Arabidopsis thaliana: one gene and its partners. The protein of the gene in region 1 interacts with the protein of each later gene in a pairwise test. Each region holds a gene or a part of one and is shown in the gene's direction. Other genes may lie near its edges. The genes, in order: AT1G11490, GATA7, CIA2 and AT4G01460.

Region 1 (3,941 bases):
AGCTTAGGGCTTTAAAGAAGAAGTATGAGAACAATCTTGGTAAAGCCAAGGATGGTGTTGAACCTACTTTCGTCAAACCTCATGATCGCAAGGCTTTTGAATTGTCTAAGTTAGTTTGGGGAGGTATTAGAATGGCTCTTGCATCTGGTATGAAATCTAATGAGAAGTCGAAGAAGAGTAGTAAGTTTGAGTCTGTGAAGCATGAACTTGATTCTTCTTTGCCCAACAGTAAAAACAACTGTGAAGATGAGGTGATGGATGAAGGAGAAGTCTCTTTTACAAAGTCTTCTCTTGTTAGATCGATAGTGGGTCTTGGCATGGATGAACTTACTGCTCAACAAGGATTGAGTAAGCTTGCCTCAAAGGATATGAAGAGATTTTACGAGCAGTGGAAAGCGATGCAGGCTAGGGAATTTGAGTTCTTTTTGCAGAAGCATGGTTTTCTTTTTGAAGTGCTATCAAAGATATCTGAAGCATTTGGATCAAACGCTTAGATATATTTATGGTTTTTGTTTTTTTGGTTCTGCCTCTTTTGTTTAGAACTCTTGGCTTTTTTATATTATATTTTAGTTTTCTATTGATTCTTGAAAGAGTTTATTTTGGAATATTGCGGATTTATCAAAATGGAAGGAAGCTTTTTTGAAGCAATTTAAGTTTATTTACAGATGAAACATTTTGTGTATCTTGATGAAGAAGACGTGTTATGCGCGGCTTCTATTTGCTAGATTTTCTTGTTGCGCATTCTCTTTGTCTTCTTTTTTAGCAGCAATTGCTGAAACATAATATGCTGAAGTCACCACTCCATGTCCTAGACAAAATATGCCTCCAATAAGAAAAAACCAACGATGTGGCAAGCTGCAGAGTCGATTCGTTCTCGAGTTGGCTAATGTTCCTATCATTAGCGTTGAGTAGCTGACAACAAAAAAGATCCTAAGACAAACAAAGGTATGTCAAAAACAAAAACAGCTGACATAATTCAAATTTGTCTTTTGAATGAAATCCAAAAACCTATTATCTTTTCCATTACCAGGAGAGAACAAGGAAAGCCACAGCGAGTATCTTGTTCGCCGTTGCTCTTTTGAAATCTTGCTTAGAGCGAATGTAAGTGCAGCCTCCAAGCACATTAGCTAGGACATGGACAATAAACAGAAGCACCATTGCAGCTACTCCCTCAGCAAATGCTCCATCGCTGGGGCTTCTTCGACATCCAGAACCTGAATGTCTTGAATGTTGTTGATGATGATGATGAGGTGCCTGAAGGATAAACATCAAATACAAGAAAAGATTATTGGTAGTTAAAATAAAATAAACTACATTTCACTCTTAATATAAAACAGAACCTTGCTTTGAGCAATCTCGGCTTCGATCCCGAGGACTGTAGCTGTAATGTCTGCACATATGATCACAACAGAAACCAAGAACCCAAGTTCACTTTCCATTTTTCCTTGATTCATAATAAAAACCTTATATTTTTATTTGATTACTGTATTTATTTCAATTGTTCTATGAAAGTTTAAGGAAGAGGAAAATAATAAGGAAACAGCATCAGATTACTTTCCTAAGCTTGCCTCTCACTGCAAGACAAAAGAATACAGATTCGGTTTTGGTCTTTCCAAGTAAGTAAAGTTTCATTCCTTTTCTATATAATGACATTAGTTTGGATGCTTTTCTTGTAAACTGGATATAGTAGTAAATAATTCTACTACAAAGATATAATTTCATATTGAATTAAGAGGTTGATCACATGTTTGACTTTTTTACTTTAAAAATGTCAAAGCTCAATAGAGGCAGCATGTGGCGTTATACTCTGTTTTGGAACGTGAAGAGAGGTGAAAATTATTATTCCCATATCTTTTTTTCTTTCTGTAATCATATTATGCTAAAAATTATTATAATTTTCCAGGTTGTAATTGGAAAAGAATCATACAGGGTTAAGATTTGATCATTTTTTTTTAACATAAACGTCAAATTTTAGTTGTAATTTTCTATTTCTAAAAAAGATTTTTTAGTTTGTTCTTTCATGGTGTGACATGATATCATACGTTTATGGAAATCTTCAGTCTCATTTTGGAAACAGTTTGTGTAGATATGGTGAAGCAGGAACAAACAGAAACAGAGCTGTGTCCGAATCAAAGCCAAATCTTCATAGAATATCTTTATAATTCACATCTCTCCCAGTGAATCCAAAGACGGATCTTGAACAAACATGCGTGGGGTTTGGCTTTATCTCAAGAAGTCTCTTAGCTGCTGCAAGGCACAGAAGTCAACTGTAGCTTGTGATCCAGACAAGATCCAAATTCAGAAGAAGGAGAATCCATCTGGATGCTCAAGAAGATCAATGTCGAATCTGAGAGATGTCTTTGTAACTAATGGAGATGAAGGAGCTATGCAGAATGTAAGCTGCTGCAGCTCACGGTCTCTTGAGAGCTCCAGGTTTGTAAACACAGTGAAATTTGAGGAGAATGCAGGTTATTCAGACAGATTCAAAGGTTTGCTTAGCGGAGCATCTTCTTCTGATTTACTTCCCGGTCGTTGTTCAGAGAGATTTGATGTTGTTGGCTCTGACATCTGCGGTTTCGGAGTTCTTGCTTGTCAAAAATGTCATGAGAGAGTCAGAGATCTTGACGCGTTTGAAGCACATTACCTCTCTAACCACTCTGGTAAGACTTGAATTAGATGAACTTTTTCATTGACTTTTAGCCAATGTTGTGAGGAGAATTTGATTTGTTTTTTCTTTTTTGCAGTCGTTAGACTCTTAGCAGGAGATTTCTCAAGAACAACTGTGGAACTAATCTGCAACACAGGCTATTCTCACAAGCTAGGCAAAATGAAAGGGAACAACATTTCAGCGATCTTTAAAATCCAGAACTTGCAGAGAGTTGTTGCAGACTTTGAAGATTACAGAGAGCTCGTGAAAATAAGAGCAAACAAGCTTTCAAAGAAGCACTCTCGTTGTATGGCTGATGGCAACGAGTTTCTTGGGTTCCACGGTACAACTCTTTCTTGCACTCTCGGTTTCAGTAACAGCTCTTCAAACCTCTGTTTCTCGGATCACTGTGAAGTTTGTCATATTCTAAGACATGGTTTCAGTCCTAAAACAAGACCAGATGGGATAAAAGGAGTTCTCACAGCATCAACTAGCTCTACAGCTCTTGAATCTATCGAAACCGATCAAGGAAGAAATAGAGGTTCATTGATAGCTGTTGTGCTATGTAGAGTGATTGCAGGGAGGGTTCATAAACCTATGCAGACGTTTGAAAATTCTTTAGGGTTTTCTGAGTTTGATTCACTAGCTTTGAAAGTTGGACAAAATTCAAGAATTGAAGAGCTTTACCTGTTGAGTACAAAAGCTTTGTTACCTTGCTTTGTGATAATCTTCAAGCCATGAAACAAGCCCGTATATGCAAAATTTATTCTTTAGGTTTTTGTATAGTTTTCTCATCTTCTTTTTTCTTGCAAAATTTGGTGGGCCTGTAATAGGTTAAAAATGTTGGGCTTTCCCCAAAATTGAAAGATGGAAAACTTGCTGGACAAGTCTATGCCCAGCCTCTATATTTAAAGGGTGAAGAAGACTGTAACTGTTAGTGCTACCATTTTCTTCAATTAGGGTTTCTTTGACTAGCTCTTCGCTAAGAACACTCATGTCTCCTCTGCTTCTGAGCCGGCCTTCAGTGTTCTCCCTCCGGAAACCTCTGTTTGTAAGATACTATTCTCTTCTCTCCCCAATCACACTTTGTTCTTTTTTTTTTTTTTTGATGATGTTTTGCTGATGTGAGATCACTACAATTATACTCAGAGACGCCCTAGTGTTGGGTGCTTGTCATCTCGACGCTGAACCTTGCGGATTGGGTATGGGAAAACTCATGATTGCAATTAGTAGTGATAATTCGATGTGGGTTTTGGAGAAGAAGGCCCCTGTGGAGTTGGTGGAAGGAGGAAAG
Region 2 (3,797 bases), on another chromosome or scaffold:
TGAACTATATTATTACAGGTTGTCTAGTGAACCAAATGTTGGGGCCAATAGTAGATCTGTAATTAATCTTTCAGTAGGAAAAATAGTTGGGAAAATAGTCGAAATGACTAAAATCCGATATGGAATAACAATATCGTTTTTTGGGTCTAAGATATTGATATTTATGGAGCAATGCTATATTGGTTTCAAGTGTACATTTTTTTTTATCCGAGGGTTCAAGACTTAAAAGCTCAACCAAATTTCCGATATACAAAGAATGTGATATTTTTATGGCTATCACTTACATCGTTGCTACATTTAATTAATTTCTATTTTCTCTGAATGCAAATAACTTAAATCGAAGTTCATTTTAAATTATAAACGTAAATTTCATGAAGTAATTTTGTATTTACGCTTTTAAAAAAACTTGAATGGTTTTCATGTAAACTTAATCATCATATAAGTTACGTACAGTGTCAATGTTCATATCACATATATGACTATATGAAAGTATAGTTTACGAGATAAATACTGTGGGGAAAAAAGAAAAAAAAAGCTACACTACACAGATGAGAGATGGATGCATAGAGAACGAGATCATGAAAGTTTACTATCTTATGTTATCGAACGATAATGATTTCATGGGTATAAAATAGTCTAATTTGTACGGTTACTCCTCTGCCAACATACATCGCATTCAATAACATTCCACCTTTTACCGACTTGCATTGAGCCCATGTGGCCCATCGGGCTAATTAGGCATATAGTCAGTTTAGTGAGCCACCACCATATTGTATGTCATCAGTCTACGACTTTCTTGCGTTAATTTAATCCGAGGGGAAAAAAATTGATGTAGCAGTAGAGAATTTAAAGAGGGGTGTTCCGAGAATCGAACTCGGGACCTCTCGCACCCGAAGCGAGAATCATACCACTAGACCAAACACCCAATTGTTTGGAATGTAGTTCATTATATTTATAATAAAAATACAAGTCTATGTATTTTATTATTATTTACTATTTAGGTATGTGTGTAATTTGAATATGTTTATGCTCCATTGCTCCTGGTAAACTTTACGTGAATGTTTAGATGTTTTTTTTCTAACTTTGAAACCGACTTTTTCTAATGGAAATTATTATCTCAAAGAAAAAACAAATATATAACCATGAGCGATATTTTCACGCGCTCAACATATGATGGTCACTCTTTCCTTGAAATTAAAGAAGAAATAAATAATAGGCCCTTACTAATAACGTTTTTGTTTGTTTTGGTAAAATTGGGCCTTCCACCGACGGTCGAGTGGGCCCGAGAAGCCTGATAGTCCAATCATTACTCTCGACGTATGAATTATTGTTAATTTTTTTCTTCTTTTCTGTAAAACCTTCGAAATACTGATACAACAAAAAAAAAAAAAAATATATATATATATATATATATATATATGTGCTACTAGTTTCTTTTTTATGTTAACAAAAAAAAACCATATTTTGCAAGAAACTAGCTTTATATAGAGGGAAAGTTGTATTAACCGACGATATTTTTGGCCCAACAACACTTTCAACGGTCATGATTAATTAGGTTGAGCCATTAGATCGTTAGAATACCACTAGTTCTGAATGACTTTATTCAGTTATTTTGATAGTAAAAGAACTTAAAAAGACTTGCAAACTCTGCGCCGATGGTTAAGTCAAAAATGATAGTTCTAAATTATGAAGAAATCTTTGCTGTCTTTTAATATTATGAACTTAAAATTTGGCATTAAGAACTCTAATAAATTGAATTGACTACAAAGAGCGGTTATCTTTAAATAAAATTCTACGGATAAGTTCAGATAACATTTAAAAAAAAAAAAAAAAAACATTTTACTTACGAAGGAAACGTATTTTTGGTTTCCTTTTCAATGTGAAATGCTGACATGGCAATGCATGATTTGTTACGAGATTTGTAACGAGACAAATACCAAACAAGTCTTCCAAAATCACAAAAACCTAAAACCCACTCTTGCTTACAAACCCCAATCAGTGCTGTCCACTCTCCACTGTCTCTCTCACTCGATAGACACGTAAAGAATTTAAAATTTTGAAAAAGAAAGAATGAAATTTGTGTAAAATATATTGGAACACGAACAAACTTTTTCAAATATGGATTCGCTTCGCTCCTCCTTTATTTAAAATACTTGTAGTGCTTTCATACGGCTAGAGACAAAAATGGAGTGTGTAGAAGCATTTCTCGGTGATTTTTCCGTCGACGATCTTCTCGACCTCTCTAACGCCGACACTTCTTTAGAGTCGTCTTCGTCACAAAGAAAAGAAGACGAACAAGAACGTGAGAAATTTAAGAGCTTTTCTGACCAAAGTACCCGTCTTTCACCGCCAGAGGATCTCTTATCTTTTCCCGGCGACGCTCCGGTGAGCCCACTTACACACTCTGTTTCTATCTCCCCTGTTTTGTACACTCTGTTTCTCTCTACCCTGTTTTTGCTCTGTTTTGCTCTGTTTTTAATCTCATTTTTGTTTTGTTTGTGAAGGTTGGTGATTTGGAGGACTTAGAGTGGTTATCCAACTTCGTGGAGGATTCTTTCTCAGAATCGTATATTTCGAGTGATTTCCCGGTGAATCCAGTCGCGTCGGTGGAGGTTCGGAGACAGTGCGTTCCTGTTAAACCTAGAAGCAAACGCCGCCGCACCAACGGCCGTATCTGGTCTATGGAGTCTCCATCTCCTCTGCTATCCACCGCTGTTGCCAGAAGGAAGAAGAGAGGGAGACAGAAGGTGGATGCATCGTACGGTGGCGTAGTCCAGCAGCAGCAGCTGAGGCGGTGCTGCAGCCATTGTGGAGTCCAGAAGACGCCTCAATGGAGAATGGGTCCATTAGGTGCGAAGACACTGTGTAATGCTTGTGGGGTCCGGTTTAAGTCGGGTCGACTTTTACCCGAATATAGACCCGCTTGTAGCCCAACATTCACCAACGAGATTCACTCTAACTCTCACCGGAAAGTGTTGGAGCTACGGCTCATGAAAGTGGCGGATCCGGCTCGGGTTTAAGCCATTTTTTTCTATCTTGAAATTTTATCAATGCCATGTGCATTGTGTAATCTTGTAAACAGAGAATCAGAGAGAGATCCGTAGACTGTTTTCACATTCATGAAGTTAAGCTATAATTAGAGACAATTTTATTTGATAGAGTATGCATGATTAGAAATCATGATCATTAAAAGTTTTGTTAAATACAGTCCAACCGTTACCCAAATTTTTGTGACCACAACCATAATTAACTACTGTTACTTCCTCTTAGCTCACACTCTTTTCATTTAGAGTTTTTTTAAAAAACTGCTAATGCAAAAAAAAAAAAAGTTGTTAAAACGTTATTTTGAAATTTTGCCTTTATAACTGTTTTTTCAAAATATCGTCGTTGCCCCTTAAAGTTAAAGTAGAATTTTGTATATTTTTATTAAACCAGTATAGAAGTTGTTAACATTGAGACAAGATAAAAGATAAAATTTGACCAAAAATCAATTTAATTTTTCAATTACACAACCCTAAAAATTTACGACGTACGAGCCCCTCATTCACACTCTTATGTTAAAAAAACTGAAAATCAATCCATATCGATCTAATACTTGTGCGGCTACAAATACCAATGCATTGGTTATTTTCTAAATTATGTTATTGTATCATTGATAGTTGACACAGTGTTTATATATTTAAGAATACAAACTGGTATACTTTCTGTTTGCATACACAAATATTGGTGACTCCATTTTTTTTATTTTTTTTGTACATGTAAAATACTAAAGCAAACCCTCACATAAAGATTAGTAG
Region 3 (5,759 bases), on another chromosome or scaffold:
TTGAAAGTTTAACATAAAACTAACCTTGAAAAAGTAAGTCAATGAAAGAAATAAATTTTCAATTATCATGTCTATATATATATCCAAAAAATTATCTAAAATATAGATAAGAAAGTATCAATTTATGCTAATATTTTTTTCCCAAATATGCTAAATTAGTAAATTTGAAAAAAAAAAAAAATCTTACTAATAAAGGGAAATTAGTAAAATAATAAAGTCGGTTTTTTAAGAACACGTGAAAACGTCTCCGACCAGGCGACCATAATCAGTTAATTGAGAAAGCACCACGTCATCAAAGAAATCTAGTAGAGCCAATGGGTATGTGCCACGTCAATGGATAAGGTGACCTTTCCTCGTTTTCTCTTTAAGATCCCAAAAAGATTTTGCAGATTTGGATGATGATGATGTGGTTTTTACATCTTTTTAGAAAATAATCCAAAAACAGAATCACATTTCCCTCCAGTCAAAAAGGATCATTAATGACTATTACTCACTAAACAACCTGGATTAAACTCTTGAGCATCTTTTCTTGGTTAAACTTTATTCAAGAAGAACAGAAATCGGATATCACAACCAAATCAATAAATTAAAACTGAGAAATCTTATTAAAACTATTACTATTATCAAAAATATATATCAAATTTTAAATAAAATCTTCTACAAAACCTGTAAAAAAATATAACTTCGAATTCTATTTAAAATCTAGATATCATAAACTAAAATATAAACCAATATATGGCTTCACTTCTAGCTACAATTAATCAGGGTCGGCTCAAAATAATAAAGGACCCAGAGCTGAAAAAAAAATTAGTTCTCATTTCCTATGTTTTGTTATGTAAATCTTTTTTTTGGATCGTAATTGTATTAGATTTACTTCAAAAAAAAGAGAAATTTTGGGTTGACTCTGTGCCTCGCTCCTCCGGCACATGTGTAGAGCCGGACCTGCAATTAATAGAAACAAAAATTAAACTAATATATGGTGACTCTAAATTGAAACTAAAACTAATAGTGGATAAATTTGTTTAACTCTATACTAGTTTAAAGAGCTGAAATTAAATATTGTGAATGGTAGAACTCGATTTTTGGTATCAACTAAGAAGAAAAATCCTCAACCTCAACTAATATAATACTGCCACAGGCTGGATTAGACAATTGATCGGCGCTACATCATTACTTACCACTTAATCGATGATGTGATTAATATTTTTCAATCATGAGTAATTTCGATAAATCACACTCAAAATATTTATCCCCCTTTCAAATTAATGACTGATCGCTGTTATATTACTTACTCACCACAAGATCGATATGCAAAATAATATCTTAAATTTTTGGGTAAAAATTATTGTGTAACAAGTGGATAATATCAATAAATCAATACATAAAAGATTTACTCAATTTGAATTAATGACTTACTGTCGTTATATTAATGTAATACATAAAAATTTAACTTTAAGAATGAACGATCGTCGCTACATTACATTATTACCAAATCGTCACAAAATTAATATTTTATATTTTGAGTAAATGTTAATGAACAAATAAATTTGTTAAATCAACACATAACAAATTTAATTCAATCGTATTATGACCGATCGTTGCCACAATCATATCGCTTTATTATAGGTTTAACAATTGATTTTTCATTATTTTGTTTTCAATCTCCAAATCATTTCTCAATAACTCTCAAACATTGTTTAAAGCTTTTTTTCTTAATTAACATTATAACAAAAAAATAAATAGAGAAATTTACTTTGATTCAAACACCAGTCATTGTAGATTAGCCAAGAGTTTTCAGTAACAAAATTTACCTTATAAACCTTTTGAATGGCTATTTCTGAAATGGAATAGAAATCTTTAGTCGTGGAAGTATCTCTATCCATAAGAAAACTCGTTTTACAAAGTAATTTTAAATCAATACAAAAAGTGAAAAAATCCACTGGTGGACCCCATTCATTCCAGAATTGCCGATTACGAGCTATCTTGTCCCTTCTTCACCATTCGCTCACTCTCTCTCTCTCTCTCTCGTCTTCTTCTTCCCACCACTCTCTCTGTTTCTCCACAACTTCTCTTCTCAAAGTTAAAATTACCCCTAAACCAAAAAAAAAAAAAACGCTCTTCACTATTTATTTACTAAACTCTCCTTTGTTTGTTACTAAGCTCTCACTAAAACCCTAATCTTTCTCCTCTTATATATCTCGTGACTCTTCTTTCTCCTCCAATCTCTCTCTCCCTCTTCACAAACCAATTAGCTTCTTTCTGTAAAACCTCACTCGTTGGCCAATTCTTTTGGTTTTCATACACATAAATCTCAGATTCCAAATGGGTTTTCTTAGCTCTTTCTTTCAAATGATGAACATTTGTTAGCAGAATCTTCCTCTTTCCCTAAAGTTTTGATCTTTTTTTCCCCCTTCAATTTTGTATTTTCTCACCAAATAAAAAAAGGTTTCTTCAGTGGGTTTTAAGGGTTTATTATTATCTTAAAATTAAACACAATTCTTTAATCAAAAGGCAAAAATCTTAATTTCATCACTCTCTTCTCACTCACAAAAGTTCTTACAATCTTCAAAGTTTTGGTCTTGTTTCTTTTCCGATTTCACCGGACAAAAAAAATGTCGGCGTGTTTAAGCAGCGGAGGAGGAGGAGCAGCAGCATATAGTTTCGAGTTAGAAAAAGTGAAATCACCACCACCATCATCCTCAACAACAACAACAAGAGCTACTTCACCATCATCAACAATCTCCGAATCATCAAATTCACCACTCGCAATCTCAACGAGAAAGCCAAGAACACAACGCAAAAGACCAAACCAGACTTACAACGAAGCAGCTACTCTTCTCTCTACTGCTTATCCCAACATCTTCTCCTCAAACTTGTCCTCTAAGCAAAAAACTCACTCTTCATCAAACTCTCACTTCTACGGGCCATTGCTTAGTGACAACGACGACGCTTCTGATTTGCTTCTTCCTTATGAATCAATCGAAGAACCTGATTTTCTGTTTCATCCAACGATTCAAACGAAAACAGAGTTTTTCTCAGACCAGAAGGAAGTTAACTCCGGTGGAGATTGCTACGGTGGTGAAATCGAAAAGTTTGATTTCTCCGACGAATTCGATGCTGAATCGATTCTCGATGAGGATATTGAAGAAGGAATCGATAGTATAATGGGGACTGTGGTGGAATCGAATTCAAATTCGGGGATTTATGAATCTAGGGTTCCGGGAATGATCAATCGCGGTGGAAGAAGTTCTTCTAATCGGATTGGTAAACTAGAACAGATGATGATGATCAATTCATGGAATCGAAGCTCTAACGGATTCAATTTCCCGTTAGGGCTTGGATTACGAAGTGCTCTCAGAGAAAACGACGACACAAAATTGTGGAAGATTCATACCGTTGATTTCGAACAGATCTCGCCGCGAATTCAAACTGTCAAAACCGAAACTGCAATCTCCACCGTTGATGAGGAGAAATCCGACGGTAAGAAGGTGGTAATCTCTGGAGAGAAGAGTAATAAGAAGAAGAAGAAGAAGAAAATGACGGTGACGACGACATTGATTACGGAATCGAAAAGCTTGGAAGATACGGAGGAGACGAGTTTGAAGAGAACAGGTCCGTTGTTGAAGCTTGATTACGACGGCGTTTTGGAAGCTTGGTCTGATAAAACGTCGCCGTTTCCCGACGAGATTCAGGGATCGGAAGCTGTCGATGTCAATGTATGTTTAACACTAATCTCTTCTTAATCTCAAATCCCTCGCCGTTAAAATTCGATATTTTCTATGTTTATTTTTCTTTAGTTAATGGTTAGTTTGAAATAATTAATTATTCGGGATTCTGTTTTGGCCATTAGTATTCTGCCACGTGGCTGTTGAGGAGTGTGTTCTCATTAATGCTGAATTAGTAATTTATTAGCTATGATATAGTTTGAAGTATCTGACAAGAATTTATTAAATTTTGTGGAAAGTTCTTATTAATAATTTTTCCTGTAACGTATTTTGAAGAATAATTATTAACCCTTTGACTTTGGTACATAGTCTTCTTTTTATTATAAATAACATTTTTTTCTGTGATGACTTTCAATCAATTAAGAAAAAAAAAAGCTGCTTTTTATTTGTCCAATGAAAACTTTATAGACTGTGCACGTGAATTTTCACGTATAGGATAAATGAGGAGGTTCAAAATTTATTTTGTAGATATCCGTTTCGTCGAATACTCCTTTTAGCATAAAGTCTAGTAGTCTACAAAATAAGTTAACTAGAAATTCATTTTTGTCAATTGATTAGTATTTTGTGTTATTAATAATGTTGAACATGAACTAATGTGGCGTGTGTGTTTTGGGGCAGGCTAGATTAGCTCAGATTGATTTGTTCGGAGACAGTGGAATGCGAGAAGCAAGTGTTTTGAGGTACAAAGAGAAACGTCGAACTCGTCTTTTTTCGAAGAAAATTCGATACCAAGTTCGCAAACTCAATGCTGATCAACGTCCTCGAATGAAGGTATCTAACCCATCTTAGTCAGTGGTTAAAAACATGTAGGTTTTTTTTACCATCCTTCAAAATTTGTTTTGAATCAGCATAATAAGACTAGCTTTAGTTTTCAGATTTAAAGTAGATGAGAAAACTCTTGTTGAGTTTTTCTATTCGTTTTTTTTCTTCAAGAAGATGAAATAAGCTTTCTTTTGGGTATCTTTATTCCAAATGAACCAAACCGAACAAGTAAAGGAAACTACGTACCACAAGCCAAACAAAAAGATTTAAAACCAAACCAAAGGTTAAATATATTAAGAATTGTCATCTAAAGGAAACAAAACTAACTAATAACGTTAGATTGAGGTCAAGGGCTAGGGATATATACATTAGATTTGATTAAGACAAGAACCTAATATTAATGTTTTCTTTTCTTTTTGTGGTTGGTGATGGGATGTGGGAACAGGGACGATTCGTGAGAAGGCCCAATGAGAGCACTCCAAGTGGACAAAGATAACAAGGATAAAAGAGCCTAGATTTATCTTATCTTTTTTTTTTTATCTTTTGTTTATTCCTTGTTTTATTTTTGTTTCTAAAATTTTGGCACCCTCCTTTTTTGTTTCTTTTAAGTTATGGTCCCTTTTGGTTTATAATTTAGATTTTTTGATGAGGGGGAGATTTGATTGAGAAAGTGAGGGATCAAAACTAATAAAAGTTTTTGTTATTAATAGAAGAAACAGAGCTCTTGAGATTTTAATGACTCAAGAAGCAAGTCAGAGACTTGGCTCAACAACAACAGTAGCAAAAAACAAGACATGGATTATTCACCAATCCCAATGGCTCAAACTATGTTGCAGCCTTGTACACCTGTTGTTTCGTTGCCCATTGCTTCTTTGAGTCATCAAAACCGGTGACAAATCATTGATACCTCTCAATATCTGTTTTTGCCGAGCCAAATTTCCTTTCCCAATAAAAACATTATAGAGAAAAAGCATATTGAATTAAGGGCAAAAATAGCTTCTAGGACGTGTTATATGATTTTTGAATGGTAGCTTCTTCTAGATACCATTTTATCTTTGACCAAGAATCGAGTGTTATTTTACAAGGCTTGACGGAATGGCAAAAACAGAACTCTCTGCACAAGGAATGTGTTGAGCTCATTACTTGTATACATGATACAAGAGATATCGTTTGGTTTATATACAGAGTTATTATGCACGAAACAAGAGGAAAATCAAATCAAACCAAATTGGTCTCTGGTAATCAGTTCAGTGGCAAAGATTTTCAGATCAA
Region 4 (4,577 bases), on another chromosome or scaffold:
AAACTAGTACCGTATCTTCGGTTATATGGATGGTACATAGAACTATAAATTGTAAAATCATATTCTACATACTTACTTTGACGATAAATAAGTGCTATTTCGGGTCTAATGTTACACGTAGGGAACTACCTAAGAAAATGTGGTTCGCGTGTCTAATGCAAACTGATTTCCATTCGAACCTATAATGGCTGAAGAAATAGCTATCCACATATGATATGTTGATAATGATATATATTATAGATATTCTTGTGTTTAGCTAAGTAATATATAAAAATTTACTCCACTTTTTTCTCAATTGGTATGTGACATGCTCTTATTGGGTGGATAATGTACTAGACAAAACTTGTAATTTTTTTTTTCTTTATCTATAATAATATAAAAACATTTTGTGTGTTATATTTTCATACATCTATTTTCCTTTCTTCATAATTCGTTTGGCCTATTTTTCAAATGTAGTCTATTCAATTTTATTAGGTTGCATGTGAGTTTTGGACTCACTTATGCATGGTACAAAATCCAAGTTCTTAAAAGACTTTGAGGTAGAATAAAAATCTGTAGTTTGGGAGAAGGAAACAAAAATAAAAAGGTAAATTTCTTTTGGGGGAGAGTACTGTTGTTTGCCCTACAGACCAAGGCACTGAAATCGAGTTGGTATTATTAGGATACTTAACGTTTGGCACCCATGGCCTTGGCCTTGGCCATGTGCATTGTTCGTCCTCTTCTTAAAGGGTACTATTGTCATTCTTAATTTTTATAGCACTAAGTCAACACACCATATTGGGAAATACTTAAAGACCCATAATGTACTTGTTCTAGCTCGATTAAAAGAGAAAAAACAAAGTAAATGAAAAGTTGAAGTAAAAGACATGAAAACCCTTTTTGGATTGGAGAAAACTAATTCTCTAAAGATAGAAAAGAAAAAGAGGAAGAAGCAAGAGAGGCTTGGTCTTCTTTTCTGATCCTGAAACTGTCTTAATAAGAGTGAGAAGTACTGTTCATGGAAGACGTGTCCCCACCAAACAAAACTGTCTTCACTGCCCTCTTCAATAATACTTTTACGGGACCCCTCCTAGTCCCAACGCACAATCTCATTGTGTCTATACAGAGTTATATTATATATATACACTTAATTTCTAATAGTTGTAGCAAAACATATGGTAAGAAAATGAAATAAATACGGTTAATATATTATTATTTTTTGGTCAAAACGGTTAATATATATGTAACACCAATGAAGCCAACATATCCAAACACAGAAGAAGATTTTTGGATGATGATTTAAACATGTATATATGTTAGTGTGAATCTTCAAAGTTTCTGTTTAAGTAGAATTATTTTTATAGATAAAGTATTTTATATGTTTTTTGGTCGAGCCAAATATCGAATTCCTTCATCAAAGTCTATCGAATTCCTTATATTTACCAAAGTAAAATTCGTTAAGAACAAAAATCAAAGAGTATTGTCCCGAAAGAAAATTATTTTGAAGGCCCAAAGAGGACAAGGTCATAAATATTTGATCTGGAGGACAGGACACCCACGTATATTTTTGTCCAAAATTTAGGTTAAAAAAAGAAGAAGAAAGGTTATCTGTTTCACGGATTAAATATTTAATTAATAATACATACATATATTACTGTATGTGTGCGTGTAAAATACTAAATATCGACGACTATATATATAACTAGATAATTTAGCTATAGTATAGTATTTTTATTTTTCACCCTTGGTTTTTTTATACATATATGCACCGAACCTCTTCTTCTTCTCTTCCTCGTCTTCTCTCCTTTTATATATGTGGAAAACTGCATTTATTAAGAACAGTTTAGAAAGTGTCAACCCCTAAAGGAATGTTTTTAGTTTAGAGGAAAGAGAGAGAAGAAGAAGCAGCAGCAGAAGTTGTTAATTTGAAGACTATTTGAGGAAAGACACCTATATCTAAATACTCAAAGTTACAAAAATATTACTTCAGAAAACAGTTCCATTAGAGAGACTCATAAAGCTTCTCATGTAAGCCTCTCTTGTAATTTATTCTCATATACAGAATACTGTTTTGTGCATTTACTCTTCTTCTTCCTCCTCCTTTCATATGATTAACATTCAATGCAAAATTCTTGTAAATTCATTTTACAATAGCTTATCCAAATTCTGCTACTTTTATTATTGTTTCCTCTCGCTGCGACATTCTTTATTTCTCATCATTTAATGTTCTCTCCTCGTACATCCTCTTTGTTCTGTCTTAAGAATTCACCTACCAAACCATTTATTTCTCATACCCACTTTAAGATTTAGTAGATTTTTGTTTTCTTGTCAAAATGGTATCCTAAAACTAATCTCTCTTGTTTTTTTCTTTGTTGAAGCTAATTATGAGTGGATTGATGAGTTTTGGTGAATTAGAAGACCAATTTGGTCAGATTTCAGACACTACTATGGAAGAGAAGATACCATTTCTGCAAATGCTTCAATGCATAGAACACCCTTTTACAACAACAGAACCAAATCAGTTTCTCCAATCACTTCTCCAGATCCAAACCCTAGAATCAAAGAGCTGTCTCACCCTTGAAACAAACATCAAAAGAGATCCGGGTCAAACAGATGACCCGGAAAAGGATCCAAGAACAGAAAACGGAGCAGTAACGGTCAAAGAAAAAAGAAAACGGAAACGTACAAGAGCTCCAAAGAACAAAGACGAAGTTGAAAACCAAAGGATGACTCACATTGCCGTCGAACGTAATCGAAGACGACAAATGAACGAACACTTAAACTCTCTCCGATCTCTCATGCCTCCTTCGTTTCTTCAACGGGTAACAAAATGTTTTAAGGGTTCATTAAACAAGAACGTAATTTTTTTTTCTTTTCAAGAACGTAATTTAGCTTTAACAAGAAAACGTTTTTGTTTCTCTAGGGTGACCAAGCTTCGATTGTAGGAGGGGCAATAGATTTCATCAAGGAACTAGAGCAACTCTTGCAATCTCTAGAAGCTGAGAAACGAAAGGATGGAACTGATGAAACTCCTAAAACGGCGTCGTGTTCTTCATCTTCGTCTCTTGCATGCACTAACTCTTCTATTTCTAGCGTGTCTACGACGTCGGAAAATGGATTTACGGCGAGATTCGGCGGTGGAGATACGACAGAAGTGGAGGCTACGGTGATACAGAACCATGTGAGCTTAAAAGTTCGGTGTAAGAGAGGAAAACGACAGATCTTAAAAGCTATTGTCTCGATTGAAGAACTAAAGCTTGCGATTCTACATCTCACTATCTCTTCTTCCTTTGACTTTGTCATCTACTCTTTCAATCTCAAGGTAATTTTCTTAATCATCTCTTAAACTATCAGTTTCAATTTCCACTAGTTTAAGCATTATTATAAATAGTCTTATGTAACTAGCAATTTTTGACTTTTTGAGGAAAATTAAGGAATCTTCATTTTGAAATGTTTGGTACTTAAGAAAATTAAAATGCATGAGAAACCATAATAGAAAATATCTACAATTATGTGTGTGTGTGTGTATTTTTTTCCTTCACTCTAAGCTTAGAAAATTTTAGTTTAATTTTTTAGTAAGTTGCTAATTTTTGTTTAGTTTTGGAGAGATGAGAAATGAATGGTGTTGTGCATGCAGATGGAAGATGGTTGTAAATTAGGATCAGCAGATGAGATAGCGACAGCCGTTCATCAGATCTTCGAGCAAATCAACGGTGAAGTCATGTGGTCAAATCTTAGTCGAACTTAGTTGACTTTTGACTCCTAGTAACGTGTGTAAACTTTAGGTTACAAAGAAAAGGGACGTGATATAAATAAGAAAAACCAAAGAGGTGAAATTTTGGGAGTTTTAATTATTATCTTATACTTTTTGGATTTTAGATTAGTAGCAAACTCGCAGTGTTCTACGATGACATTATTATTGGTCACATGAAGGTTTAGGTTATTATTGCCTGTAATTTTTGAATATAAACTAACCTATGAGTTCAGTTTGACCCCGAAAACGAAAAAAGTTAACCATGAGTAATATTTACTTCCATTTATAAATGTTTCCCACTTAGTAATAATGTTAAGAAATTGACTTTAGACGTCCGTATTAGAATGGTTACGGAAATGGAAACAAATACAATTAAAGATGAAACATCATTATTACTAAGAAGAAGTCGCCTTCACACTTCGCAACCTCTTTTTATATTTTGCATATACGTTTTATTAATACTCTCATATCGTCCATGCGTCTGACAAATCTACGCTTGATAAAAAAGGTACAGCTACAACATAAATTTAAAGGTATTCTTTTGCATCAACGTCTACTGACTAAAAATACTTGTTTATTGTATAATGACTCTAGTTTTACTTTTAACAACGAAGAGAAAGGTGGCAGAATTTTTTTAATATTCCAATGGTAAAAAAGCATCGTAAAAGGAAGCCTATGGTCAGAGTCTCATTGACACATCGGTCTCGCTTGTAATACGTAAAACTCAGCCTATCTCACTCACATTACTTTTTTCGAAATTTTAATTCATATATCGGTTTCCGCATATATTTAACTTTTGTATTCAAAGCTTATTAAAAAATCGGGAAAAATCTAAACATCATAA

Evidence for each region.
Region 2: the proteins of AT1G11490 (region 1) and GATA7 interact in a two-hybrid assay, tested with the Arabidopsis thaliana proteins (one large-scale study listed by BioGRID).
Region 3: the proteins of AT1G11490 (region 1) and CIA2 interact in a two-hybrid assay, tested with the Arabidopsis thaliana proteins (one large-scale study listed by BioGRID).
Region 4: the proteins of AT1G11490 (region 1) and AT4G01460 interact in a two-hybrid assay, tested with the Arabidopsis thaliana proteins (one large-scale study listed by BioGRID).

What each region holds. Positions count from the first base shown.
Region 1 is NC_003070.9:3,868,331-3,872,271, reverse strand, and holds AT1G11490 (zinc finger (C2H2 type) family protein), read left to right. Parts: upstream 1-1,746; 5' UTR 1,747-1,829; intron 1,830-1,963; exon of another isoform or gene 1,964-2,077; 5' UTR 2,078-2,206; coding exon 2,207-2,660; intron 2,661-2,744; coding exon 2,745-3,388; downstream 3,389-3,941. Other genes in the region: AT1G11510 (DNA-binding storekeeper protein-related transcriptional regulator), read left to right, coding at 1-494; AT1G11500 (transmembrane protein, putative (DUF1218)), read right to left, coding at 702-930, 1,028-1,254, 1,341-1,454.
Region 2 is NC_003075.7:17,146,599-17,150,395, reverse strand, and holds GATA7 (GATA transcription factor 7), read left to right. Parts: upstream 1-1,899; 5' UTR 1,900-2,184; coding exon 2,185-2,385; intron 2,386-2,504; coding exon 2,505-3,020; 3' UTR 3,021-3,256; downstream 3,257-3,797. UniProt on the Arabidopsis thaliana protein: Transcriptional activator that specifically binds 5'-GATA-3' or 5'-GAT-3' motifs within gene promoters. May be involved in the regulation of some light-responsive genes.
Region 3 is NC_003076.8:23,165,781-23,171,539, forward strand, and holds CIA2 (chloroplast import apparatus 2), read left to right. Parts: upstream 1-1,993; 5' UTR 1,994-2,612; coding exon 2,613-3,716; coding exon of another isoform or gene 3,717-3,743; exon of another isoform or gene 3,744-4,343; coding exon 4,344-4,496; coding exon of another isoform or gene 4,497-4,514; exon of another isoform or gene 4,515-4,932; coding exon 4,933-4,983; 3' UTR 4,984-5,245; downstream 5,246-5,759. Other genes in the region: PSD2 (phosphatidylserine decarboxylase 2), read right to left, coding at 5,751-5,759. UniProt on the Arabidopsis thaliana protein: Responsible for specific up-regulation of the translocon genes TOC33 and TOC75 in leaves. Involved in the general chloroplast protein import pathway regulation, including protein import and protein translation efficiencies.
Region 4 is NC_003075.7:618,971-623,547, forward strand, and holds AT4G01460 (basic helix-loop-helix (bHLH) DNA-binding superfamily protein), read left to right. Parts: upstream 1-1,720; 5' UTR 1,721-2,007; exon of another isoform or gene 2,008-2,357; 5' UTR 2,358-2,363; coding exon 2,364-2,801; intron 2,802-2,902; coding exon 2,903-3,301; intron 3,302-3,616; coding exon 3,617-3,727; 3' UTR 3,728-4,029; downstream 4,030-4,577.